Linked DNA regions of Solanum lycopersicum. The main gene of each other region encodes a partner of the protein of the gene in region 7 in a complex. Links are inferred from orthologs where the notes say so. Each region holds a gene or a part of one and is shown on either strand. Other genes may lie near its edges. The genes, in order: large ribosomal subunit protein bL28c; 50S ribosomal protein L27; large ribosomal subunit protein bL21c; large ribosomal subunit protein uL15c; large ribosomal subunit protein uL1c; large ribosomal subunit protein bL9c; 50S ribosomal protein L6, chloroplastic.

The links.
Region 1: 50S ribosomal protein L6, chloroplastic (region 7) and large ribosomal subunit protein bL28c share a complex: the UniProt entries of both Arabidopsis thaliana proteins name them as parts of the 50S ribosomal subunit. The link is inferred for Solanum lycopersicum from reciprocal best matches to the Arabidopsis thaliana genes emb2394 and PRPL28.
Region 2: 50S ribosomal protein L6, chloroplastic (region 7) and 50S ribosomal protein L27 share a complex: the UniProt entries of both Arabidopsis thaliana proteins name them as parts of the 50S ribosomal subunit. The link is inferred for Solanum lycopersicum from reciprocal best matches to the Arabidopsis thaliana genes emb2394 and RPL27.
Region 3: 50S ribosomal protein L6, chloroplastic (region 7) and large ribosomal subunit protein bL21c share a complex: the UniProt entries of both Arabidopsis thaliana proteins name them as parts of the 50S ribosomal subunit. The link is inferred for Solanum lycopersicum from reciprocal best matches to the Arabidopsis thaliana genes emb2394 and RPL21C.
Region 4: 50S ribosomal protein L6, chloroplastic (region 7) and large ribosomal subunit protein uL15c share a complex: the UniProt entries of both Arabidopsis thaliana proteins name them as parts of the 50S ribosomal subunit. The link is inferred for Solanum lycopersicum from reciprocal best matches to the Arabidopsis thaliana genes emb2394 and RPL15.
Region 5: 50S ribosomal protein L6, chloroplastic (region 7) and large ribosomal subunit protein uL1c share a complex: the UniProt entries of both Arabidopsis thaliana proteins name them as parts of the 50S ribosomal subunit. The link is inferred for Solanum lycopersicum from reciprocal best matches to the Arabidopsis thaliana genes emb2394 and EMB3126.
Region 6: 50S ribosomal protein L6, chloroplastic (region 7) and large ribosomal subunit protein bL9c share a complex: the UniProt entries of both Arabidopsis thaliana proteins name them as parts of the 50S ribosomal subunit. The link is inferred for Solanum lycopersicum from reciprocal best matches to the Arabidopsis thaliana genes emb2394 and RPL9.

The regions. Positions count from the first base shown.
Region 1 is NC_090808.1:67,409,465-67,413,634, reverse strand, and holds the start of large ribosomal subunit protein bL28c, read left to right. Parts: upstream 1-1,370; 5' UTR 1,371-1,519; coding exon 1,520-1,736; intron 1,737-4,161; coding exon 4,162-4,170. Other genes in the region: uncharacterized protein, read left to right, coding at 1-519.
Region 2 is NC_090810.1:58,850,415-58,854,580, forward strand, and holds the start of 50S ribosomal protein L27, read right to left. Parts: upstream 2,801-4,166; 5' UTR 2,754-2,800; intron 1,515-2,753; 5' UTR 1,508-1,514; coding exon 1,241-1,507; intron 561-1,240; coding exon 459-560; intron 388-458; coding exon 202-387; 3' UTR 1-201.
Region 3 is NC_090805.1:43,261,434-43,265,690, forward strand, and holds the start of large ribosomal subunit protein bL21c, read left to right. Parts: upstream 1-1,457; 5' UTR 1,458-1,580; coding exon 1,581-1,874; intron 1,875-3,329; coding exon 3,330-3,410; intron 3,411-3,800; coding exon 3,801-3,902; intron 3,903-3,994; coding exon 3,995-4,069; intron 4,070-4,257. Other genes in the region: calcium-dependent protein kinase 11, read left to right, coding at 82-222. UniProt on the Arabidopsis thaliana protein: This protein binds to 23S ribosomal RNA in the presence of protein L20.
Region 4 is NC_090804.1:3,795,317-3,799,277, reverse strand, and holds the start of large ribosomal subunit protein uL15c, read left to right. Parts: upstream 1-1,161; 5' UTR 1,162-1,354; coding exon 1,355-1,435; intron 1,436-1,513; coding exon 1,514-1,871; intron 1,872-3,961.
Region 5 is NC_090800.1:78,432,222-78,436,172, forward strand, and holds the start of large ribosomal subunit protein uL1c, read left to right. Parts: upstream 1-1,151; 5' UTR 1,152-1,219; coding exon 1,220-1,528; intron 1,529-3,130; coding exon 3,131-3,310; intron 3,311-3,416; coding exon 3,417-3,471; intron 3,472-3,951. UniProt on the Arabidopsis thaliana protein: This protein binds directly to 23S ribosomal RNA.
Region 6 is NC_090810.1:57,591,530-57,595,613, forward strand, and holds the start of large ribosomal subunit protein bL9c, read right to left. Parts: upstream 2,801-4,084; 5' UTR 2,656-2,800; coding exon 2,518-2,655; intron 2,403-2,517; coding exon 2,275-2,402; intron 732-2,274; coding exon 686-731; intron 550-685; coding exon 452-549; intron 377-451; coding exon 329-376; intron 1-328. UniProt on the Arabidopsis thaliana protein: Binds to the 23S rRNA.
Region 7 is NC_090811.1:69,209,303-69,213,315, forward strand, and holds the start of 50S ribosomal protein L6, chloroplastic, read left to right. Parts: upstream 1-1,213; 5' UTR 1,214-1,259; coding exon 1,260-1,297; intron 1,298-2,303; coding exon 2,304-2,612; intron 2,613-4,013. UniProt on the Arabidopsis thaliana protein: This protein binds directly to 23S ribosomal RNA and is located at the aminoacyl-tRNA binding site of the peptidyltransferase center.

The DNA.
Region 1 (4,170 bases), on a different chromosome or scaffold from region 7:
GACGATGCTTTGGCTGGTGGCAGTCATTCGGATGATAGACCTTCTGAGGAGCTAATAAAAGACGACAGCTCTGACCCTCTACCAGATGACAGTAGTGTCTCTGCTCAAGAGACAATCTTCCAAGAAAATCTCGAGGTTACCCGTACTGGTATGGTTTCAGAAAGGAAAGATGAAAATGCTAATCCCAGTCCACTGGAGCATCTTGAGATAAACAATGACTCACCAGTTAAGGAAGCAATTAAGTCAGAGGAAGACAATGGAAATGTAGACGATAGACCTTCTGAACCAGAATTCTCATCGAAAGAAGAGTTGGATGCTCCAGAGGAACTTGAGAAAAAGGAAGAAATCCCTATTACTGAAGTGTTTGATCCGGGCTGTGTACTTGTGGAGTTTAGAAGAGCAGAAGCTGCATGCACGGCTGCTCATTGTCTACATGGACGACTGTTTGACGACCGAATAGTGACTGTGGAGTATGTTCCCCTTGATCTCTATCAGACAAAGTTTGCTAAACAAAACTAATTTCTTTTGGCCCATTCAAAACCTTATGCAGATCTCCCCAAACTTGAACGACGTTAACATAGGATTTCACAATGCTTAACTGAATGTTTGTTTGCAATTTTTACCATTATTGAGATGCCTTGGTGTTAACCCTTTTGTTAGTGCGAGAGTCGTACCCGATTTGAAGCGGAATACATGTTTTCTCCCAGATGTAGAATGGGATGAAGGAATGAGCCATTGTATTATGTCATCTAAAAATTATGAACTTTGTTTTTAAGTTGCAACAGTTTACCTACTACTTACAATATACAGGAGCACAATCTTATGGCTTCTTGAAATCTTTTATTTACCTTCTTATTATTTTGCCTTAATGTCTTGTGCTTGTAGTTCTAAATGATGTTGGTCACTGACTCAGTTGGACAGTTGATGGGATAACAGATTTTAGGGGTTGTTTGGTTAGAGAGATAAGGACATTCATAACATAGTGTGATTGATTTGAAGATAGTAGAGACGTTCAATATTATAATGATTTGATTTTGGTCTATTTGTTTGGTTTATCATAAGTGGAACCTGAAGAGGGAGAAAACGCTTAATATTATAATGATTTGATTTTGGTATAGGCTTAATAATGATTTGATTTTGGTATAGGCTTAATACTCTCTTTGTTTGGTTTGTGATATTAGACTTCCACGTGAGTAAGTAATGGAAATAAGATTAAAGCATAAACTAAGATAACACAAGTAATGCAAATAAAATTAAAGCATAACTATGATAACATATTACTTCCAAATAAGTTAGATTTTGTTATTTATTTATTCTTTTATTTAAATCGTTTGATATTATTAGACTAAAGGAAAAAATAAGTTAAATATATAATAACAATAAAAAAAAATATGAAGGCCAACAAATAAAATCATTACCCACATCCATTTCGTTATCCACTCTTCACTTCCTTCTTCAAAAAAAAAAGCAACATTCTTGAGACAAAAAAGATTCTTGCTTTGAGGAATTGGTTGCAAAAATGGCGACAATCACAGCGGGTATAAGCCTCAGAGGACCAGTAGTGGGTGGTTACAGGACATTTGCAGTGACCAAAAGGGCTTTACCCAAGGTGAAATTCAGCTCAGAGTTGAGTTTTGTGACTTCTCAATTGAGTGGCATCAAGATTTCAAGCACCCATTTGAGCTCTCCTGCTTCACTTTCTGTTCCTTTCAAGACAGCCCTTCAACCTGTTGCTCGTAATTTCTCTACCCTTTTGTTGTGTTCTCTGTGTTTTTAGTTGTTGGGGTTGTTTCTTTTTTGGTCTAGTAATATGCACATGAACTGTTTGTTGTTTTGTTTGTTTCAGTGAATTGTTGGGTTTTAACAATATTGTGAATTGTGTGTAAGAAATTGTGCTTGTGGGGAGGCAGTAGGTAACCTTAGAATTAGTCGAGGTGTGCGCATACTGGCCATACACCACAATTGTCAAAAGGAAATTGTATCTGATAATTTGAAGTTTAGTTAAGTACTTGTTACTTAGGGTAATGGTTGTTGAAGTATGTGCAAACTGACCCCGACATTACCATTATTTAAAATAAAAAAAGAGTCTTGGTGCAATTGCAAGGTTGCTCCTTTGCTGACCTGAAGGTTACGAGTTCGAGGGGCGGAAATATTAACTTTGTAGACCTATTGATGGTAGAGGTGACATTTCAGCTTTCTGAATTTCAATTAATTGGATCACATGCAAAGGGATACTGTATGGTATACACCTTCGGTCCCTCTACCCATGAAGTAGGGATAGTAAGTTCTTCTTGAACATTGATGGGGAAAAAGGAAAGATGATAACTTTCAAATGTTAATACGATGAATCATCATTTTGGTGCAGGTAGCCTTTTTATTTGTGTGTGTGTGGAGTGGCCGTACTCAAAGGGTCACAGGACCGAAATCATCATGAGTGTTACTCAGATAATTGCTCATTCCATACCTGAGACCCCATTTAGTAGTCGGGTGTCTAGAATTCAGATATGTGCTTTGTGTTGATAGCACATTACGTTAGATTGTTTAGTACCAAGTGAAAGTTAGTATTGCTGATATGGGATGAAAATTATCCCTTACAATGTGGAGGATCTGAAGACATAGCCAAAGTTGGAAAAAGTTTGATTCAGTTGCAATTTGCAAACTAAATATATTGTTTTCTTGAAATCTGTGGTATGGTAAGCTGAGCACTTGACATTAATCACATATTATTAAGTTACATATGATAATCAATGATTAAAAACCATATTATAGTTTACTATCTAAACAACTTCTTATATAACTTCAAGAGGAGAGATTAAAGGGGTGTCATCATTCCAGGGGTTTAAAAGTCTGTCTACAGTCGCAAGAAATAGGGATAGGACAACCTCACCATGTGCAAAATTAACAAACTGGGAAGAGCTTGATGGACTACAGCATATTGATTAAAGGGAGCTGCCGCGTTAACTGCATTAATAACAACAAGATCAATAAAATACGGTATATAGTTTGGAAGTTTGTCCATAGTTGTCTTCATATACTGAATGATCCCTAATTTTTCCTCCTTGGCTCTTTGTTCTCTGACTTAAGGATTGCCGATATTTAAGGCATAACAGATTGTCCAAGTGAAGAATTATAAATTATTTCATGATAAATTTCTTATATAGATGGTATCAACAGTTTTTTGGTTAACAAAGTTTGCATTCCTTTGCTGCAATTCATAGACAAAGCTGCAAAAGAAATACTATATGCATGAGAAGATATTATAATTCTTGTCGAGGCCTTTTAGGTCTCATTAAAAACTGACTGCAGCCTAAAGGGAGCTTCATTTTCTTGCTTTCACCTCTCTTGATAATGAGCAGGATTTCCATCTGCCTATTCTTCTCTCCATGAAACTTGCAGCCTAATAGTGAAATAAAAGCTTTATGAGATTCAAAGCTTATGAAAGTAGATTTCTCGCTATCAAGAATATGTAAATCCATTTACCTCTCAAATTCACCTTCTGCATTTTTTAATATTTATTTACCCACCTGTGTCCTTATTACAAGTGACCAAACTAGTTAAAAAGAAGACGAAACCAATAATGAGAGGCTGAGAGAGTGTGTTAGCTGCAGATTTGGAAGGAAAAATCTACAGAACTTGAATCTTCGGTGTGTTCGCCCCTCTGGTGTACATTATATTTTGAATATGATGATAACAGCTTGGTTTAATTCGTTCTCATTGTATGACAACAAATTGTAAAGGGTTGACTTACCTTTTGTGAAATCCAGTAATGGCAGAGTATTTGGCTTTTAGATCACTGATGAAGCTTTAGTTTACTAATCAGAAAGCACATTATGAGAGTCATTAGGAGCACTATATCACTGACACTCTTGCTTGCTTTGACTCCCTTTCTAAGTTGCTGCATTTGTCAAACTGCATCCTGAATTCCTTTGTTTTTTTAGTCCAAAACTACTTAAAGCCTTTGAGCTAATAGGTAAAATAAAACAAATTAGGGACAAGAGTAATCAAATATTCCCAGTGAAGCATCCTTTGCCTTACATCATCATGATCTTTCCTTTCCCCCCCTGCTTTCCTGCATTTTTGTCGGTTGTGCTCGAATATCTTGGCGCCTCTTTATGATAAGTAGCGTATAGAATATTAAGAGAATACATTCTGTTTTTTCAGGTAGAGTAT
Region 2 (4,166 bases), on a different chromosome or scaffold from region 7:
ATCTTCTGAATCATACATTTCATTCTGTACTCATACAAACTGTGACAAAGACTCATGCTTTCAGTAACACAATTTACAAACAAAAAAAGACAACAATGGCAGAAACACAGTTTAGAAAATGTGCCTGCAAATGTGTTCCCAAGTAGCTACTAGCAATAACCAAAACGACAACAGAATGTTTGAAAAATCGAAAGACCATTATCAGCAAGTGGTGATGGGATTATCTTCAGAGGATTCAGCAGCAGAAGCAACTATCAACTGAGGCTCAGGGATGACACCTTCTCTTCGTGCCTTTCTACGTTCACGTTGTAATCTGAAGGACTCTCTCTTTCGGTTTCTATAGCTGTTGGGGTTTTCAGGTTGCACCTCGCGTGGATAAACACTTATCTGCACAGTCAGTATACGTTAATAACACTCGTGTACCACATATCTACAAGCAGTAAGCTAAAGAACTCAACCTTTTTCCTGTCAGGTCCAAACTTTTCAAATTTGACTAGTCCATCAATCAAAGAAAATATTGTGTGATCTTTGCCAAGTCCAACATTCTTTCCTGGGTGGAACTGGAAATATCACCACGAGAACGATTAGGGAACAGAATATATGGCAATGCTAAACGGAGAATGCAACTTTTGAACTACTCTTAGAGCAAACAAACAGACGATAACAGGATCATATCAGAGCCGAAAAAAAGTAAAACTAATACCAACCTCTGGCATAAACCCTTTTACTATCTAACTGATAGAAGACGACATCTACTCATAGCATCATACTGTCAGAAACTGACACTTTCGGCAAAGAAAAAAAACTCAAGTCGGATTATAACAAATGTGCATTTCTTAAAGAGAACTTCCAACTATGTCTTCACGACACGAGCTCAAAACCTTAAACCTTATAGCAATCTGTTACTTCAAATGACAAGATATGTATCCCTCTAGTACCTTGTTTTGTACTCAATCTAACGCCCTCTAGACAATCCACATATTTCTAACAAATAATATACAAACCAAACGAAGAAAGCCAGACGAATGGAGCAGAGTTATTGACAAGATGCCAGGACCTAGTATGTTTGTGAGGTATTGAGCAAAAAAACTGGAATTACACTCTACTTGGGTGGGTTCATCCGAATTCATTTCAAGCACTATTAATTAATCAAAAGAACTATCAGAACTTCCACAGCAAATACGAGTTTTAGGCAAAAATAAAAAAGAGAGAGGAGATCCAGAAGAAGTAAAATTGAAACCTTTGTACCGCGCTGGCGAACGATTATAGAACCGGGCTTGGCGACTTGGTCACCATAAATCTTGACACCAAGCCTCTGTCCAGGAGAATCTCGACCATTCTTAGTGCTACCAGCTCCTTTCTTGTGTGCAGACTCAATTGTCAATGGAGATTTCAACGGGAAGGAAACGGAGAACTTAGGGGCAATGGGAAGAGAAACCCCAAGGAGAGAATTGGAAGATAAGGAGAGTCCTTTGAATGAGGAAACAAGACTCAAACTCACTGCCATTTATACGCTGCAAAGAAAACAAAGAAATTCAGTAGCCTCTCGTGGTACTTACTATCAGAGATGAGAGGCCTAAAGGAAAGGAAGTGATATTTAACAATGGGAAAAATATGAGCATAGAACTACTAAGAGGACAAAACTATTACCATAACAACTACCAAGGATCTTAATCGCCAATCTAAAATTTCCCCGGATCATCGCGAACACAAATTGGAGAAATATATTTTTGATAGTAAGTCTACAGAAGGTTTGACTCTGACTTTAACACTGCTCGGTATGACTAAAACAGTAGAAGAGTGATAAAAATGGTCCTAAACATATTTCCTAAGAAAAAAAGTTTTCCATCAAAAGGGGGAAATAACTACTCTCACTTATGAGATAAGTCATTTCCTTTTACTACGATTTCAGCTCTTTCTCCTTATCGCTCGCTCCAACCACTGTTTAGATAATATTGTCATTTCTTAATACTCAGCTTTATCAAAATATAAAACCAATTTGCTGAGCTTATTATCAATCTTCAAAAAAAATACAAAACACACACTCCTAACAATAGAAGTACCTTAAGTCCTCATTACAACTATCTTTACTCCATTATATATCTCTTGCATTTCAATACACATTACTTCCACTCATTGTTTTTCTTTTCAAAATTACACCAAACATCAACCCCCCTCCACCACAAACGCATTTCGCAAACTCTACACCACAAAATATTCCGCAAATAAGTCCTTACGCAAGCAATTGGTCATAAAAGAACCATATTTAATCATAAAGGACAAGTCTTTAAACCACAAAACAAAGAGGAATCAAAGGAAACCAGTATCAACAACAAAATAAACACTAGTATGTTCATCAAGATTGCAGTCCACCTAAAATATTAGTAGCGGTCAATAAAGTAGATTGATAACCATAACGTCTCAAGTTCAAATCCTAGTGAAGCATAAATACTAACCCCCTCCATTTCAATTTCCAATAGCAACTCTTCAATTCTAACTTTTCACATTAAACAACATTTTGATACATTCGACATAACATTAGTTTTACTTCAACCCCACTTGATTAAAAAAAAATCTTTACTTTCTTATATTATTTGCCAAAGTCGAACCACACAAACAAATTGAAATGGAGAGAATAGTAAACCAAGATTTGCGAGTCAGCTAAAATTAAATACATTTTCGAACACCCAATTAAACATAGTACAAGAAAAAAACATTGAATTTACAGAAGAGGGGAAAAGAGATGAACTCACCGAGGGGATTATGGAGCCACAATGGCAAAATCTTCGAGATAAAAAGATAAGAGAAATGTCAGCCATCCTTTTTATAATATACTTGACCCGTTTTGAATTGGGCTTTTTTTAGCTTGTTTTCGGGTTAAGTTTAATGGTTTCGTTTATCGAACATAAGTTATGGACATAAATTAATTTTGCTTATAAATATTGAAGTTGTAAATATTTTTATCGAACTTGTAAAGGGGAATAATATGATTTTAATTAGTAAAATAAAATGTTTTTTCAGATATCTTTTCTTCGAAACTAAAATCCAAGTGATTGTTTTTATATTTTTGAAAACGTTTTTTAATCTCAAATTGATATTCTGCGAAAAGTATTTTCAAAAAATGAAATCATATTTAAAAATTTTTAATTTAATTTTTATCGAGAAAATTTCATACTCCTACTTACGGGCATATATAATATGATTTTTCGATAAAAAGTATAAGAATAATTTTTTTTTGCATACCTCCATACAAGTACGGTTAAGAATGTCAAAATGAGCCTAAATATATATAACTCGTCTAACTCATTTAAAATTTTATAGGCGGGAGCTCTAGATATTTTGAATTGGATCAATCTCAACTTATTTACGTTTTAGCCCATTTTAAAATAATTTTTAATTGTGTCCAATGTAATCTCTAATTTCAACATGTTTTAAGAGTATTTTTTGTATTGGTGTAATTTATGTTCTCATATTGAATGCATAAATTAGAATCTATTTTATATTTTTTATGATTTATATATCAATTTTATAACTGTTTTTATTGAATTAAAATTCAAATAATAGTTATTAAAGGAAAATAACAATATGTTTAAATTATTGAGATTAAACATGTCAAATCGCACAGGTCATGATCCAATCCAATGTTTATCCTATTTGAGCCTAACATAATTTGAAGAGGTTATGATTCGACTTAAATTTTATTTGAACTCATTTTAATATTTTAAATTTTAATTCAACCCGATTATTTAACACGCCGACCTACAATAATGCCACATTATTCTTGAAAATTGCTCATATTATGCTTCTTGAACTAGTTAGTGGAATTGATTGCTCGAGTCAAAAGTTGTGTTGGTAAATTAAAGGATTTAAAAGAAGAATATTTAAAGTAAAATAGATTGTTTAATTTATTTACTTTTATAGGACAAGAACAAGTGGAGAATATAAATGCCATGAACCTAATTCTTTCAAAGAATAAATATATTTATTGGTTAAAAAATAATATTAGGTGAACATTTTAAATATATCTAAATTTCAATATATAAAATTAATACAATAAAATAATTAAATCCAACATCATGCTATATAATCTATATGTGCAAATACATCAATGGTTTTAACATGTAATAGTAAAATACCGATAAAGATTGTGATGGAAAATTAAAATA
Region 3 (4,257 bases), on a different chromosome or scaffold from region 7:
ACCTGACCTCATCAACCAGCCCTCCGCATGGGCATCACATTTCTGAGTTAAGTCAAGCTAATATATTCTTCTGTTTGGCAGGATGGACGTATAGATTACGGCGAATTTGCAACAATGATGAAGAAGGGAAATACAGGATTTGCTGCTAGAACAATGAGAGGCAATTTGAATTTTAACTTGGCTGATGCACTTGGAGCAAGTGACAGTGAGAAAAAAGAATAGAAGGTTTCTACTTCTATAATATATCAAAAAATGCATATTATTAGGAAATGTATTATACCAACATTATATTTAGATTGTTTGGTATCTAACTCTCTAATTCTAGCATGATTGTTTACCAGACCAAGCTGATAGAATACGTTGGACCAACCAATAACCAGAGGAGTTCAAGGAGGCTTTCAACCGGACGAGAGGGGTCAAGTAGAGCTGTGTTTGCCAAGACAATGTTGGGCTATTACCAGCATATATTGGTGCTCTATTATTTTGTGATGGTAGATAGATTTAGTGCTATAGTAGCAAAATTTCAGTTGTTGCTACTCTCAGCAACAGCATGCCCAGTATCTTTCCACGAGCGAGATCTGGAGAGGGTGGGATGTAAACAAACGTTACTCCTACTTTTGCTACTTTATCTTATATAATTTGAGGGTTTTTCCTCTAGTTCATAAATTCTAAAATATTACAGTTGTTTGTACCTGAGAAGTGTTGTAAAAACCTTCTTTATGTCTATATTAATTTGATGTTACTGGAAATTGAGTACCTTTTAAGATCATTTTGTCATATATTAAACACTAAAATAAATTTCAGTCTTCTTTTATTTGTGTAATTTTTTTGATTTATTTTTTTTTCCTTCCAATTTTGCGGGCTTGATTTTTAACATAACAAATGGCATTACTTTTGTTCTTATTTTACTCTTCTTACCACGTATTTGTAATCTTACTTCTACGTTTTAAAGATAGAATAATTATTTTTTAAGAGCCTCAAATTAAATAAAACATATCAAAAATAGTACTAGCACTATGAAAATTAAATATAATGTATATGTAATTGCAAAAAGTAGATGGGAGGCTTTACATAACTAACCTCGAGTCAAAATTAAACAATGATGGCTTCAAGAGTAAATGACCTATTATATAATTTAGAATATTTGTTAATCTCTCCATTTCAAAAAGGATGGTCTAGCTTGCCTTGAAACAGAATTTAAGAAGAAAAAAAAATTTTTTAATCTTGTGATTCTAAATTAAAGTTATGTCAAATGTACCAAAATATCCTTTAATCTTGTGGTCTTAAACATGTCACGTGGAAAGTTCAAGTTAAAATATTATGAAAAAAGGAAATGAGTTTTTTGTTTTGAAACAGACTAAAAAAGGAAATAGAGACGTTCTTTTTGAAACGAAGGGAGTATTATGTTACGAGAATATGTAAATTTATACTATTTCTAATACAATTATTTTTAAAAAAATAAATAAAGGATTTCGGGGTAAAATAGTCATTTGGCTACCACTGCAGATAGGATAGGCTTCAACAGATAAAATTGAGAGAGAGACAGAGAATACCCAAAAAAAACCTCTCACTCTCTAACAATGGCAACCCTTTCCCTGTGTTCTACATCTTCCCCCTCAACAGCACTTTCCAAGAACCAAACTTTTCTTAACACCCTTTCTGTTCCCAAAGCAAATTCCAATGTTACTTTTCTATCTCACTCATTTTCCTCTCTCAATCTCCGTTTCTCCAAGCCCAATTCTTTATCCTCTTTTGTACCCAAATACTCAGAATCTGAAGCTCCAGTAGCTGAAGTTGAAGCTGACCAAGAAGAGCCTGTTGTGGAAGCCACTAGCTTGGAACCAAAACGGGAAGAAATCTTTGCTGTTGTTATGGTGACGACTCACTTCCATTCATGTTTAAATTTGTGTAGACATATCTGTTTGTTTTCAATTTCGAAATCAATGTGAGGGTACAATTTAGATTTTTATTGAAAAAATTATGAGGTCCCAAATGAAAATTTGAAAATTCAGCGGAAAATGTTTCAGTTGTCTGTTACCTTGAATTTTTTTCTCGAAGGAAATAGGAAATTGATCTATTCCCTCTAAGGGAATGTTACTTTGTTGTATAGAGATCACAACTTTGGTTCAAGATTGTCATGTGCTCAACCTTTGATATCACAAAAGCAGTCGGAATTTTAATAAGGGGAATTCAAAATTACTCAGACCTATTATTGAAGCAATTTCTCGAATTAACCTTTGCCACTAGAACGAAAACTTCCTTTATGTCAAACGGATTAGAAGTTCCAAAAATTTGTTTTCATGAAGAATGTTCCACCACACCTCACTCACTTAGTTCATATTTCGTGTTTGCTAGTACTGTTGATACATTACTGCTTCCTATGGTGTATGTGGTGAAAATAGGGAGTGTTACAATGAAATTCTTTCGTTCTGTTATTTATACGTCAATGCCATTCTGTGATGCTTAGGTTTAGCATTCTGTTTTAGGGTGTCTTAAAGGAACAATACACATGTCTATATGTTTGTGTCATATTGACTTGGCAGTGGTGGTGGCTATTGGAAATGTTAAAATAGTCCGTGCTAAATAAGCTGAACTGAACTTTTTATATGCTTAGTATTCTCCAGTAGAGTTGGCTGATGTTAACAGAAAACTATAATTATTATGAAGACATGACGAAGATTTAGTACTTGGTATATCCTTACCTGTGTTCTGGACACCATCCAATTTCAAAAATCTCAGTCTATGTTCTCTTTGGTTTTAGTTTAATTTCGTTTTACAAGTGGGCCATCTATTTTCGGTAGGCGTTTCCTCTAGTTAAGTTGCAAAGGGGTTCATATGGCAGATTAGAAGTAATATAACTAATAAATAACTGATAACTATCATTTAGTTCTAACTTTAGGTGTTATACAGTTGTCAGAGGGAATACATATCTACAAGTCCATGCAAACATTTAAGCAAAAGTCTAGTAATTGTTGAAATTTGATTTTGAGGTTGCCATATTCTACACTTTCATCTTTTATTTAATGTGAATTGTGAACTATTGTATTTAACCGGAGAAAACATTCATGTTTACTACTTATTTGATGAATATTTTTTCTTTTCCATGTGGAAAATACTCACTCTTGCGAGGAGATTATAGCTGCTATTTCAATCTGATCATTATTCCTGCTGCTAACAATTTTCAAGTCCTCTAGGTGTCAAATTTTGTGCTTTATTTTGTTCTTTTTTCTTTTTTTCAGATGAATGTGACACTACCCTAATATAACTCTATGGGGCTTGTCTTTAATACGTTAAGCTGTTTGTTCATTTTTGCTCTTTCGCTTTCATAGGTTGGATCTCGGCAATATATTGTTTTTCCTGGGCGGTATATCTACACCCAGAGGCTTAAAGGTGCAAATGTCAATGACAAAGTGAGCATTTTTGGTCTTAATTTACAATTGATTTCCCAAAATCTGGTTACCTCTCTGTGGCTTTGGCTTTAGTTACGTGAGTTGTTTTTCTTTTTCCTTGTCTCGCTATCTCATATCAACATTGTGGTGTCCAATCAAAAAGAACTTGCTTGCAGCAATTTCTCAATTATGTCAAAAGGCATCAATTTCAACCAATAGTGACATTTGCTTGTCCTATTTCTATTATCTTTAATACATTGTCTTCACCAGTTATTTTCCACGGAAGCTAACACTTGATATAAGGGTTATATGTGTATGTCAAGGTTTTCTTGCCATATTGGCAATACTCTTATTTCAAAATTTCCACAATGAGGATCATTGTTGAAGCATCTATACTTGTTGCTTCTGCAGATTATCCTAAACAAGGTGTTACTTGTGGGAACAAAAACAAGTACTTGGGTTGGAAAACCAGTGGTGCCAAATGCAACAGTCCACGCTGTTGTTGAAGAGCAGGTCAGACATCATTCTTCCTCTGCTGTAGTTTCCACTGAGTATATCTTGTTTACTTGACATATCTGTTGGCTCATTATTACATTTCCATGCAGTTGAAAGATAAGAAGGTTATCGTCTTCAAGTATAAGAAGAAAAAGAACTACAGAAGGAATATTGGTCACAGACAGGTATCAAAGAACTGTTTTTAGTGATATCTGAATAACTATAAAGTAGTTTGAACTTTTTTAACCTATCTGTTTGCCCTTAAAGCAAGGCGCACCGTAGTCTATCATAGTTTTAACTATGTCTGCAAATAATTACCATGCAAACATGAAAACTGTCTAAATCAGTGAGCTTACAGCCATGTATGAGACAT
Region 4 (3,961 bases), on a different chromosome or scaffold from region 7:
CACTCGTTGAAAATGGTGATTTACAAATACAAATATATCTGGATACATAAGTAATTTATCCAATTTACAAGATTGATTAGGCAATACAAGTACAATTGGATACATTAATACTATATTTTTATAAATACCTAAGTTAACACCAAGCTTCATGTATTACAGGATCACTTACCAAAAAGAGATTGGCAATTGTTATTTATCAATTTTTTATACAGGCGAATTCTTATATACTTTGATACCGACACATTCTATTATTTTCTATTTTTTTGTTTCTACGTTGTCCAATTTATCCATCTTTGATTTAGTAACACAATGTATTCATATGTATACTATATTGCATTCATTTTTTGAACAACAATAATGTATTCATTTTTCAAATAGCCGTGTTCATATGCTAATTGTCATACTTTAACTTGTTTGATATATATATTGATACATTAAATTCTTACAAAAACTTGTATCATTGATATATATATATATATATATATATATATATATATATATATACACTTTACGTTTTATAAATATAGATACTAATTTGAATTCAAAGTATTCATATACTAACTGTACACAATTAATACATTTTCCTTATTTAGTTTGTTGTAATTAAACTTGTATTACTGTATAAATAGAAAAATAATAATATTTAAAGAATTAATACAGCTAGAAAAAGATATAAATTGTATTCATTTTTTATAAATAACATACTTGTAGCTATTGAACTTTGATAAATCCTATAAATGTAGTCATTTTTATAATTTGCTGATTAATGAATGTATACAGAAATTTGGGCGGAGTAAGACAGGATTAAGGAGATTCTTTTAAATTTTCTTAAGCAGAACATTATAAGAGTAATCCTCATCGGAGTATAGCATGACGAAAGAGGAAGAAAAGAAAGATTACTATCTAAAAAAGAAGTTGACGAATTACTAATAACCCTCGTATAGAATTTATCAATGACTAAGTAATCAAACATGTTAGTAATTAATATGACTTGTAGCGAGCGTTTAGATCTCTCTTTCTTAATCATATGTTTCAAATTCAATCCCATAAATGAAAAAAATCAGTTAGGAAAGTCCCCTCTAAAAATGTGCCCAGTCGTGTGTGAATTCAAATTTTATTTAAGCCTATTACTAATATCAAACATCATGTTGGAAGCAAAAAAGACCACGATCCTCAAAATGAAGTGTAATACACACATATCGAATTAAATATCGAACACCTGATAATAGACTCGTAAACTAATTTAAAAAGTAGAAAAGAAAGTCCCTGAAATAACCACCCCTATCCGTTAAAATTTGTCAAAACACTTTTTGCTTGGACAGTGAACACAATCCTGAGTTCTCCCTTATCAACAATGGCGTCTCTACTCTCCATCTCCTCTGCATCACCTACAAGAACAAATTCAATCATTACCCAGTTTTCTTCATCATTCAAGGTACAATTTCTCCTCTTTAATTTTTCAATTTCTGTCAAAATTATACAATTCTCATTTATCCCCATCAATTTTTTTCAGGGTAATGTAAGTAATTTGAAGTCAAGTTCGAAGCTTTTGCCTTTAATAAAGGTCTGCAATTTGAAATCTAAGTCAATAACAAGAACCCCATTTGTTGTTTTCAACCAAACTGCAAGTTTTGGTGCTGATTCTGCAACTGGGAGTGTTCGTTTTCGGCTTAATAACTTGGGTCCTCAACCTGGGGCTACCAAGAATAGGAAGAGGAAAGGTAGAGGGCATTCAGCTGGACAAGGGGGTAGTTGTGGTTTTGGTATGAGAGGTCAAAAATCAAGGTCTGGACCTGGAGTTAGAAAGGGGTTTGAAGGGGGTCAAATGCCTCTCTATAGGAGACTTCCTAAGTTGAGAGGAATTGCTGGAGGTAATTTGTTAACATTGCTTCAACATAATTATATTATCACAGGGGTCGTTTGGTACAAGGGATAAGAGATAATAATCTCGGGATAAAATGTTGGATTGCCTTTGGTTAGGGGTATTAGTTAGTCCCTGAATATCTATCTTGTCATTTTTATAAGATAATGATAGGATAAGTTATCTCATATATATATGGCGGGATAACTAATTCCTCGGGATATACTAATCAATGGGATAACTTTGTCTATCTCATCCCTAGTACCAAATGACCCCTTAGTTTGAGTTGGATTTTGTTTTTCCTTGTTTTGTTGTTTGTTTCTGTGTCCATCTGCAGTGTTATAGTTTACCATTTAAAAGTCTATGGATAAGTGTTATAAAATTTATAGCTTTAACTTGACTATGTGTTCTTTTTTATATTTGTGTTCGGGGCACCTTGCATGCAGTAGTGTTGTCAAAGCTGTGCATAAGCGAGGTTCAAAATGTGTTGAGCGCTTTGTCTTGCTTAATGTGCTCTTCAGGGTCGTCATCAAGTTTCTTAGGCATTCTTTTGAGTCTCTTTAGGCAACACTAAACAATTGATATTTCACTTAATAGTAAAAAAAATAATTTCTTTGTTCATATATTTGTCATTCATGCTTACAATTATTATTCTTAGACTAAACAAACATATGTATTTGTATTTCTCCCTTTGCTCCTTTTTATATTAAAGATCATGCTTTATTCACGTTTTATGCTTAGTCCCAATGGTCCTCAGAGTTTTTTTGATTTGATAACACTGTCATGTACTTAATTCCACGGGTACCTGCTTCTTCCTGCCAACACTTGTGTTGGATATTCCTTTGCTACTTCATTCCTCAACTAATGGAATACAAACTCTTTTTTCTGCCCTGCCTGGTGTCATCCATCTCCAAATAGTAAATGCGCTGCTGAGCGGATAACTCTATCCAGAAAGGCTTGGATAAATGAATATTGAACAGGAGACATTATGGTTCTCAACCAACTCCATTAACAACTACGCCACTCACTTGGGTGCACTGTGTGTATCTTTGTTTACAAGCATGTTTGTTTTTCTTTTGGTTGTGTCATTGCAGAGGCAGATTTTCATAGGATGATAAAAAGTCTTATCTGCATCTGGTGGACATATGTGTATGCATACTCAAACTGTACTGATGATTAATCTAAAGAAATTTATTACAAATGATCAATATATTGCACTAAGAAATAAAGCTATGCATAGTTATATGACATCAAGGCAAATATCTTGAAATTCTTATTTTCTTATTTGCAATATTCTGAAATCCTCAACATTTTTATCTTCCTCTATAATCCGAAGACTGTTACCCCCTTATTTAAACTAAAAGGAAAGCCTTGATCGATATGAGAGAAATGTGCTCAAGCATCCAACCAGGTGTAACGTCTGTCAAGAAGTTTCTTACTGCAAAATGAACATTCTAGGAGCTCTCACTCGAACAAATGCTCCTTATGCCATCATAAACCGAATCAGCGGATATAAAATCTGTCCTTTCCTAACCTTCCCCTAGCAGGAAACTTATTTTAAAAGGAGGAGGATTTGGAAAGTTCATACTAAGGAGGTAAAAAGGCCCTCGAGTCAAAGGGCTATTCTTCCTTTGATTTGAAGAGAATGTCAGTGCCTTGACTCTCTAGTCTCAGTGTGGCTCTTGAGTAGTCTTCACTTTCCCTTATGCATGGCGTTTGATTAAGTATTTTCTTCAATGTCAAGTTGTTGGTATTACTAAGATGATTCATAACTGTCCTTTATTTTTGGCGTAACTTGTATCCATTCGCATTATATAATGCTGAACCTTGATACTCACACCTAGAGTTGTGTGTCAAAAAATAAGTTCTTACTTTTCTTAGGCCTTTCATACTGATTAGGCCTTGCCATGTCTAATTTTTATAACTTTGACTATTTTAGGCTATTCTAACTTAATAACTGAAGTAATTGATAGTGCTCTTTGTAAAACCTCCAATCTCGTCTTTTAATTTGTTTCATTATGTGTTTTGTTGATTTAGTTAAGGATTTCCCTCAAGTCAGGCTAATCTGTCAAAAGCAATTATCTACTACATGTTTACCAC
Region 5 (3,951 bases), on a different chromosome or scaffold from region 7:
GGGAGAATGTATCATATAGTACAATAATTTAACTTATTATATATACTTGAATACATAAAACTATTAAGTTTGTTTGTGTGTCTTTACAAATCAACACATTAGAGTGATGAAATTCAGTTTAAACTGAAATTTCAGTAGAGAAAACTTCTATGAATACTCAAATAACGTGTGTTGTTTAATATGTATTAACAAATCCTTATAACAATAACTTTGCAGAAACATATACAACAAAGTATAAAACAAACACACTAGGATATGTAATATAATGAAAGAGAAAATAAAAAAATTGAGTCCATGAAATGCACAATGTACCCTTAAGAAAATTATTCTCCTCTACCACCCGAGGTTTAAAATACTAAATCCTCACGATAGAACGTTTAGCAGTGTGTTTATACAAAAATAATATTTAATTATGCAGAAGAAAGACGTTCAAAATCTTTGTTGTTTTAAAACAAAATGAAATCTCTCTATTCATAGAAAACAAAGGATAGTGTGAACAAAATATTTATAGAACGTTTAGCAGTGTGTTTATACAAAAATAATATTTAATTATGCAGAAGAAAGACGTTCAAAATCTTTGTTGTTTTAAAACAAAATGAAATCTCTCTATTCATAGAAAACAAAGGATAGTGTGAACAAAATATTTATTGTGCCAAATGGGAAATAACACAACTCTTTGAAAAAGTTACAATTCTTTTGAAAGAGCACAACCTTTCATAAAAGTTGTAACTTTTTGTAAAAATCACAGCTCTTCTTCATATAAGTCATTTAAATGAAAATTCTTACTTGTGATGACGCTACCTAGGTTGACATATGATTCTCTTATATATATATATATATATATATATATACATACTTAATCATTATTAAGTAATAAATATAATTGCTTTAATTATTAACTTTTAAGATTAATCATATATAAAAACATGCTATCGTATATGTTTTCAATGAAACATCCGATAAAATTGAAACAATTTTTTTTTTTTTCAGACTCTCCCAAGGAAACTTGCATCAATAAAGGGAGGGGTTATATGTTTAAAAATCAAAAGCTAGTAGGTAAAATCATATATTCTGTAACTTCTGTGGGTCAAAATGATAAATCTAATAACATACTTTTGATATACACTCTCTTATCTCGTTATCAACATACGCCAAATGGATAGGCATTATATATGATTTTGTTTATTCACCACAACAATCCCTTCGGTCTCATTCAACAATGGCTTCCACAGCAACGCCTTCTACTCTCACTCTTTCCTCTATTTTCTCACAAGAACTCAACCCCAATTCCCTAATTTTCAAATCAAAGCCTCTTCTTTTCACATCCCACAAATCTTTTTCTCTGCACCCATTAAGCCTCCAGTACAAAGAAAGGAAGAATGGACCTCTTGTTGTTGCTGCTATGGCAGCTGAAGCTGAGGTTGAAGACGCCGTGGAACAGGAAGGTGAAGAAGGGGCTGTTGCTGTTTTAATTCCTCCGTCTAAGCCTAAGAAAGGCAAGGCTGCATTGCCCTTGAAGAGGGATAGAGTATGTTGAAGAACCCATCTTTTTATTGTTGATTTGGTGGATTTTTAGATATGAAAGATGGGTTTTTTTTCGTTGTGTGATATGTGGGGTTTGCTTAATTTTTGTGTTTTGAGATGATATTAGAATGGAAATAGATTTCTTGCCCCTAAAGTGGATATAGCATGTGGAAAATCTCCAAATTTTTTTGGGTTAATTTATGGATGTTAGATGAAAGATGAGTTTTTGCTGGTTTTGTATGATAGGTTGAAACAACTATGCCTTTTTTTTTTCTTGAGCTACGGGAAACAACCTCTTTACTTCTCTCTACCCTGGCCAGAGCCCACTTTGAAGGACTACACTGTGTATGTTGGTGTTGTTGATGATGATTCTTGTGGCGATATTACCATGGACATAAGTCATAACTTTTTTGCCCCTAAAGAGGATATTTATGTTGAAACTCTTCATTTCTAATTAATTTTGTGAATGTCAGATGAAAAATGGGTCTTTGTTTGTTTGTATGATATGTGGCTTTTGCTTAAGTTCTGTTTCATTGATCTTTGTGGTGAGATTACTATCAATATGACCTGTTTTGGAATTTCTTGGTTCATTTTTTATGGGTGAACTTGTCTGAATTTGTTTGGTCGTGTAAAATTTGGTCTGTACTGATTTACCTACCAAAGGTCTGTTTTGTGTGATGATGAGATAATTCAGTAGTTCATTATGATAGTAGGTGATTTCTAACAGCTCTAAGTCTTTTTGGACTGAGTGGGAAGTAGCAGGTCGTTGGTGGATTAATCCTGTTGCATGAGCTTTCTGGGACACCATCCTTATTAACAAATTTATAATTATACCGGGAATTATGAAATGGAATTTAATATTACGTTAATTACAATTTCTAAGCAATGGAAATGAAATTATATTAAGCTAAGATTGTATCTGTATTGTGGTTGGCGAGTCACGTCAAAATTACCTAGTCTCACATTGTGTCATTTCAAAGGAAGCTAGTTTGTATATGCTTGCAGTTATTGGCAAGTTATGAAGCAAGTATTTACATAGCCTGTACTTTCCTGTTTGTATTGGGGGGAACAAGCTTTTTTTTTCCCTGTTTAATGTAGACTACCTTCCTCCTGCCCGAACATGTGAGGATTCAGAATCTTAAGTTACTTGGTGTAATACTAATAAAATGTGGAGTCCTTTTAAAAGTGGAATCACGGTGGCAAAGATCAATCAGGAATGGTGAACAATCAATTTTAATGCAGCAAAGTTAGACCTTGTGTAGTGGGATTGAATTAGATCATTCGAACTCTCTCATGTGATCCTTGTCCTCATAATAAGACATCTGAGGAAATATGCTGTCCGGAGATTAAACATTTCACATAATTCTGCATGTGGTTGTTCCTTTCACCAGAAAAGGATGTCACTGTACAGGTGCATAATTTTGCACTTTGGAGATGCTAGTTGTGGAAGATCATCTCTATTGATTTTCAAACTGCGTTTCTGATATGCTTTTCCTGTTGCTGATACATCAAGCATCAAACTTCTCTGTTTCTTTCTCTATCTCATTTACCCGTTGCTCCATCAATTTTCTCATAAATTGGTTACTTCTTTTTCCATAATAATTAGACGCGGTCTAAGAGGTTCTTGGAGATTCAGAAGTTAAGAGAAATCAAGAAAGAGTATGACTTGAAAACGGCTATAGAACTCCTCAAGCAAACAGCTAGCTTAAAGTTTGTCGAAACCGCTGAAGCTCATTTCCGGCTCAATATTGACCCAAAATACAACGATCAGCAGCTTAGGGCAACTGTAAGTTTTCAAATATTTCATTAATCATCATTACATACTTCAAAGTCTATATCGAGTGTTTACTGGTATATTAATATCTTGAATTGTGGTGACTTATCTATTTCAGGTTAACTTGCCCAAGGGAACAGGTCAAACTGTTAAAGTGGCTGTCCTTACCCAAGGTACTCCTTAAAAATATTTTGTGTGAATCGATCGTGATTGTATGCCAAATAATCAAGGGAAGTAGATTCCTTGATAATTGGTCTGTTAAGGTCGTTATCGAACTCCTTTCATTGCTTCTAGAAAATAGTCATTTTTATTTTGTATTGATAAATTAAAATGTCATTTAACATAAGTGTAGATGTGATACAAGTAACTGGGCGTAATAATGTGGAAATGGTCTGCAAACTAGAATATCATATATGGTTGTCATCCCAAATCAGCCTTGGTTAATTAGATTGTCTAGTGAACTTGCAGCTTTCACCCTACTTTTTTTAACGCACCCCAAAGAAAAAGGAGTAACTTTCAGAATTGTTTTTTTTTTCTTAAAAAAAAAGATCAGACATATGAATCTTCCTTTTTAGTGTGATTGTTAGTCTAGTTTTTGTAACCCTAGATTGAATGCAATATGCTAGGATCTTTTTTATATTTGGGATGTGGTC
Region 6 (4,084 bases), on a different chromosome or scaffold from region 7:
ATTGCTTCAAAAAAACAGTTTTTGCTCTAGCAATAGACGGAAAATGGAATCAGTATACTCCACTGTTCTCGATGACTGATGTTAACGAGTAAGTAACATCGCACAGAAGGAATCACACAAGAAAATAAGCACTGCATGAAAAATATTTGAATTACTTAATAAACCAGATGAATCAGAGAACATCAGTTTTCAAGTTCATGCAAATTCATATTACAGGATCAACCTTATGAAGGACAATATACTTTAACAGTCTTCAATGAACATATAGTAGTAATTAGTTCGCATACTACTATTTACATGCTATGGCAGAAAGATTGGAAAATGGTACCTCTGTATCTGTGCTTTTATAATATCAACGAGATCCTGAGCAGTGACACTGCAAGAGAGATGACGTCAAAAGGTAGATCAAATATTCACCAAGTTGCTCATCACAATTTAGTATTTCACTGACCTTCCAAATATTTGCTTTCCTTTCCCACCCTTACGCTTCACCTTGAAGGCTCCAATAGTTTCAAAAATTCGAGCAAGCTGTTGTGCCTCATCTTTCACCTGAAATCAAAAACGTTTAACTAAAACCACATTCATTATGAAACTCTTTTAGACTTTTAGTGACTTGAAAATAAAAAAAAAATGTATATATTTTTCAACTTTCAATAGATTAGATTAATCAGAATAATCTAATTACCCGTTGTTTTTCAGCCTCAATTTTCTCGTCTTCCATCTTCATTTCCCTGAGTAAAAAGTACATAATGTTATAAAATAAAAATGCATCCATGAAGTTAGTTAATTCTCACTGATGGCGAAGCACGCTAATAGCTATCAAAAATATCAAACCAAAATTGCTTCTAACAACCATCTCTAACGAAGCCTTCACCTATTTGTTTTGTTCTTTAGTATGAAATAGCAAATCCCTTATATATAAGACTTTTACAGGACTATCACACCATTAATGTTAACAGCTGGTTAGGCCTATTGCTCACCCAAAAGCTAAAGACAAAGTCACTAAGTAGTAGGAAATCTAAAGTTTTATATCCAACCATTATCCATCTTATGCATTGTGGGACATTGTATTGAAGACGAATCCGTTATCAATAAATTATATTTGGTTAAAAGAAGCGAATTTACTTAAACCTATAATCATTAATCATACGAAGCACTATTTCAGGGAACAAAAGCCATACAGAGTTTGTGTACTGACCAAGAGTTATAACACCAAAGCCATACAGAGTTTCTGCTCAAGGAGTATCGAAAATGATTATTCTGGTACGACCTTTGCACGAAGATATGTATAATCCATGGGTCCGTCCACTTTTCAGCTAGTTACAATTAGTTTAAAGGATCCCATAGACTAAGTATACCTATTTTATCTCCATTCGACATAGGTCCATTGGTTTAGATAAAAGATAAAACAAAACAAGCAATAGTAATAACATACTTCCACTCATCAACAGCCAAGCAAAGTATTGTGTGTGGCATTTTAAATAGTTGAACCAAAGAATCCTGACATTAATTATGAGGCATGAAAATAAGATAACGAACAGAAGAACCAAAGTCTTGAGTTCAATAATAAGGTTAAGTCGATAATTTAACTAGTCATAATGCAGAAACAGACACTTGAACTCGGCATCAACTAGCAAGAAAACACTCAAACTCGGCATCAACTAGCAAGAAAACACTCCAACTTTGAGTATGCACATCTACACCTCAACTCATCTCCACTGTGTCAGTTGAACACTCCAACTTACAAAATGATCATCTAGGCACCAACCAAATATATTTGCCACATCAACATCAGGTGTCCATGACACACTGTGGATTATGCCGTTAAACTATACAGGGTGATTGGAAATGTGAATATTCAACACTTAAAATCAACTAACAGTCTCCAAAAGGAATACTTAAAAATCCATCCAACACAAGCAGAACCAATTTTAACAAACATTAAGGGGGTGTTTTGTAGCTAGTAAAAAAGCAACTTACTCATATATTAACTTAATGTATAAGTAATACAATGTTTGGCAGTTAGTTAGAGAATAAGTTATTCATGTATAAAATCAACACAAAGTTTAATTTGTAATTCAAAAACCTACCTAACTAATATATAATGTATTATCTTATGCAGGTTACAAGACGAAATAACTGATACCTGCGTAACTCTACCAAGCTACCAAACAACCGCGAACTCCACAAAAGTACAGCTAATGAAAGAAGAACCTAAAAGGCAATGAAATCAAATGGCAAAAATCTAGTTCAAAGTAGAGTTAAACGAGTTACTTGATAAGTGCAGCTGTCACAATTTGAGCTTTGCCCAATGGTAGCAAATAATTCCTAAAGAATCCAGCTTTAACATCCAAAAGGTCTCCCTTTTTACCCAACTGTGAAATATCCTCTTTCAGTATTATCTGTTCCATCAAAACAAAAAATACCCAATTCAGCTATTAACCATAAATGGACAAAAAATGAGATTTTGACAATTATAAATCCAACCCATTATCACATTTTCAAGAATTAGCTCACCTTTCGAACTTTCTTGGCTTTTTTCTGAGCAACAATTGTTAAAATTGAAGTTCTTTCTGAAAATTTCACTGTTTCGGAAAATGGGTTTTTGGTTAAGCTGTAATTTTGGAGACAAGAAGATGAACCCCATGACGCCATAGCTAAGTCTTCCTTCTTCTTTTCTTCACTTTTTGCTCCGTTTTTCTGTATTTTTTACAGTTTATAGCGTTATCTTATCTGTAATGGCGAACTGAAGAAGATAATGGATGTCTTAATGGGCCAACAAAACTTATTGGGACAATTCATGTAAAGCCCATTTCTTAGTCCAATTATAATATTTTAGGCTATTTGGGCGAAGGACAGAAATCACATACTTTTAAGGCAAAATTACCATTTGTTTTTTACAAGTATATAATTACAAAAATTTCTCAAATGATACAATAATATATTATTGTATCATTTGATACATTAATCTGATGTGTGAGATACATTAATCATTAAGTACGATACATTACATTTATACATAATACACTAATCTGATGTACACTTTATACAAGATACATTAATCTGATGCGCGATATACATTAATCTGATGCGTGATATATATTAATTTGATGTGCGAGATACATTAATTTGATGTGCTGATACGTTAATTTGATGTGTGAAAATGAGGGATTTTGGAGATTTGTAAAACTAATAGGGGATAATAATAGTAAGAGAACTTAAAAGTGAGATTTCTATCATTTACCCTTACTGAAATACACGTCTTATATTTTCCTTATTTTCATATATCCCCTTTTATTTCTAAAGACCTCTAAAATCCATTATTTCTTTAATGTATCCGAGCTACATATTAATGTATCCGAGCTAGTATTTAATGTATCCGAGTTACATATTATGTATGCGATTTATTTTATAATGTACCCGATCTAGTTTTTAATGTATCTGAACTACATATTATGCATCCGATTTATGCTATAATGCATCTAAGATACTCTTTAATGTATTCGAGTTACATATAAATGTATCCGATTTGTGTTACTTTTTAAGGGATTAATGAAATTACAAACTAAAGAGGGATGAATTATAATTTCATATTAAAATTATGTGATTTCTAAAATTTATCCAAAAAAAACAGCCCAACATAATACTCCATCCGTCTCAATTCATGTGGTGTTGCTTGACTAAGTAGTGGACATTGGACACGAAGTTTAAAAAATATGAAAATACTTTGTATATCTCAAAACTATCCTTAGAAAGAACACAACTTTGTAGACGTTTTGTCGAATAAGTGGGATCCAGTCATCTACAAAATATTGACAGTGTCATTAACTATTTATCAAATAAAGAAATGTATCGTTCTTTTAGAATTGACTAAAAAAAAGTTTGTCATCTAAATCCGGAGGGAGAGTATTTTACATTCACTTAGCCATATTTTTTTCATCAAAGTCATACTTGTAAAAGCGTACTCTTTCTGTCTCTCATACATTATTGTTTTGTATTTACACATATAAATAAGGGCAACTTTCACATATGGCAAATAAAAAATTCATATTTATATGCTATAACAAATTTTGTATATTTGCTT
Region 7 (4,013 bases):
TACTTCTAAAATTTAATATAGAATATCAAAATATGAATTTTCGGAACTAAATACAATAATTTTTTTTGATAATAAATATACATACAATATGTGTATATGTTCAATATAACCGGAGAAAATAAGTTAACATAAACATAAAAATAATGTTTAAAATATGTACTCAAAAACAACAATTAATAACATGAGTATAAATTAATGAGCGTAAAAAAACATACCAGGATATGTATAAATACCATTAAATATAAAGGAAAAAATCGAGTCAATTGAATGCACAATGTCCCATTAAAAAATCTATTCCCCTCCAATATAAGAGGTTTTAAAGAACTACATCCTCTCAGGATGAAATGATTCTATTCACCAACTTATTGATAAAATAATGGGGGTGTTAATAAGTCACTCAAAATGAGCAAAGTACAAAAATATTTAATTTTACGGATGTAGAAGAGTATCAGAATTTTTGTTGTTTTAAAATGAGAGGAAATTTTTGTATTTATAGACAATAAAGGTTAGCGTGAACAAATTCTTATTGTGCCTTATCGGAAAGGTTACAACTATTTGAAATAGTTGCAACCCTTCGGAAAGGTCACCACTTTTCATTAAAGTTGCAACTTTTCATAAAAGTCACACTTTTGATAAAAGTAACAACTCTTCATTAAAATCAAAACTTTTGATAAAAGTCACAACTTTTCATTAAAGTCACAATTTTTCTAAAAAGTTACAACTGTTTTAATAAAATTCGCAATTCTTCGTTAAAGTCGCAACTGTAATTTTCATAAAAGTCACATGTTTTCAAGCAAGATGAAGGCTAATTTTGGAAATAATTAAATTTAAAAGGCAATTCTTTCTTGTGGTGCTGCCATGTAGGCGGGCAGAGATTCTCTTTTATATAAATATATGATATTCTTTTCTTGTGAACACGAATACTAATTTGACTCTTATTTTGAGACTCTATGATTAATTTACGTAATACGAAATAGATAAAAATCTACATCCCGATCTAACATACATCTTATGACTTCATTTAGATTCAGTAACTTTAACTCGAATCATATGTGTATCAAAGAATTTACCGATATCAAGAGGGGGCAAAAGAGAAACTTTGTAACATAGAGGGGGAAATTGTTATTTAGTTGAAATAGGATAAGGGGTGAAATTGTCAATACTCTTTAATGTGCAAGGCAAAAAGGGCTCTATCCACTATACAAGATAGTTCAGCTCTTAAGAGACTCAGTCTTGTAGCTTGCAGGCAAAATTCAAAAATGAGTAGCTCTTCACTCACAGCTTCTTTACATGCCAGGTAAATTTAGCTTCTTGAATCTGTTGTTAACACTATGAAGCTTGTTGCTTTTTACATTTTCATGTCGATTCTAGAATTAATGAAATTGGGTATTTGCACATTTGTTGTTTCATTGTCAATTTTATGCAATTTTGTGTCTTTTTAGCTTCTGGGGTTTCCTTATTATACGATAAAAATTATAGCTTTTGTGTGTTGTGGGTAAGGAACTTAATTGTTCTGCTCCCTTTTTCATACTGGGTGCATTTAGCTTGTTGATTTTTACACTTTCATGTTGATTCTTAAATTGTTGAAATTGGGTATTGTGCATTTGTAATTTCTTGCTCAATTTATGCAATTTTGTGTCTTTTAGCTTCTGGGGTCTCCTCATTATACAATAAAGTTTGTAGCTTTTGTGTATTGAGGGTAAGGAACTTAATTGTTCTGCTCCCCTTCACATATTAGGTGCATATAGCTTGTTGATTTTTACACTTTCATGTTGATTCTTGAATTGTTGAAATTGGTATTGTGCATTTATAGTTTCTTGCTCAATTATGCAATTTTGTGTCTTTGAGCTTGTGGGTTTCCTTATTATACAATAAAGTTTGTAGCTTTTGTGTGTTCTGGGTAAGAACTTAATTATTCTGCTACCCTTCTCACTCACTGTTTCTATACATATTAGGTGCATTTAGCTTGTTGAGTTTTACTTTTTCATTTTGATTCTTGAATTGTTGAAATTGGGTATTTTGCACATTTGTAGTTTATTGGTCAGTTTGTGTCAAATTTATGCAATTTTGTGTCTTTCAGATTCTGGGGTATCCTTATTTGAAGAATAAAGCTTTAGCCAGTATAGAGGGTGTCGGGGCTTAGCATGTTTTCTTGTAAAAATAAAAACTTTGATCTTGTTTTATCTATTTAAGGTCTCCATTTGTTGAGAGGTTTGAATGGGATTCATATCTTGAGTGTGGCTGTTATTGGTGTTGGCTTTCTTGTAAAACATATCTGTTATTCTTGTTTTATTTCATGTCAGCACTTTGCGGTCTCCTTTTGTTGGGAGTTTGAATGGGTTTCATGTATCGAGTGTTGCTGTTCGCCGTGTTGGTTTTGTGAGTAAGACGGTCGAATGTAAAGAATCAAGAATCGGGAAGCAACCAATATCAGTACCTTCAAATGTGACACTCACAATGGAAGGCCAAGATTTGAAAGTTAAGGGACCTCTGGGGGAGATGGCCATAACTTATCCACGAGAAGTAAAGCTTGAGAAGGAAGATGGAGGTATTCTAAGGGTCAGAAAAGCCATGGAGACAAGACGCGCTAATCAGATGCATGGTTTATTCAGGTAGTCTGCAGTTTAATTGTGCTGTTTTCTCGACTTCTTTTCTCGGTTTTATTCTTAGATATGGTAAACATTCTAAGTTATAATTTACCTATTACTACTACGTATGATCAAGAAGCTATAATCTACTTACTGGAGTAATTACTTTGAAATTCACGACTGGTTTTGATGTGGACTAGTGATGACTTAGTTCTTCTGACATAAAATTTAAGATTTAAAGGGTCTAATTGATCTTCTCCAATTATATGATATCATATTTTATAACCAAATTGAGATGTTTCCCAGTCCTAGTCCTAATTGATTTTATCCTAGTTGTTAATGAAGAGGAAAGGATAATTTTTTCCTCTTAATAAGGTAAAGAAGGGCAGTCATTTCTTACCACCTTGAAGTTTTCTGTTCTTTTTAGTACTTCTAAGTTTCAAAAATAGTGAACCTCTTTGTGGTTCTAAACTTTACTTATTTGATCTTAACTATTGATATATATTACTTGCTGTAGCCTCTTGCCAATGGTTACCTAATAAATTGATATAATCGAATGCTTCTTTTGCTATGAGGGGACTCGAAAATATGGAAGAAAACGTGGACATTAGTCACTGTAAGTAGCAAAAGAAGTATGTTGCTCGGGAATCACCAAAAATGTTATTGCATTTGTGTTGGATCCTCAAAAGTTCACTACTTTTGGAGGGTCTGACCTGCACTCGGCAGCATTTTGAAGAGTCCGAGCAACATAAAAGCAGTACATAGTTCTCAGTCTTGACATGTTAAAGAAACGATCTTTTGTCCGAGCAACATAAAAGCAGTACATAGTTCTCAGTCTTGACATGTTAAAGAAATGATCTTTCTCACTATGAGAAGATTGACTGGCAACAAAGTTCAAATGTAGCAGATCCTTAGTTCCATGACAGAATTAATGATTCTAAGGTCATGAGAAGTGATAAATTAGGCAGAAGAGGGAATATAGACGTAAGAACAGCTAGGACTTCTAGCAAAGGACATATATCAGTGCTAGTCGTAGTGTTTCTAGGCTAAAAGGTATCACAATTAGGGGGTGGTGAGAAAGATCTATAATATCTGGATGCTAATAAGCCATTTGCAAGTCTCAAAAGCCACAAGTGCATATACTACACTTTGGTCAAGGGGAAAATGGAAAAAAATGGATACGGTTAAAGTTTTCAATGTAAACAACAGATTTGAAGAGGAAAACCCCAACTTTAAAAGAAGGAAGAGAAAGTAGAAATAATTAAAAAATCTATGTTTTTGAGTTTAGACACGCACTTCAATTGGTTCTTTCATATTAAAACTCCTTATACTCTCCAACGGCTAGTTAACGACTACTTTAACTTAGGGAAGATCATAACTAATCAGATAAAAACAAGGGAAACTTCCTTTTGAGACATACTCACA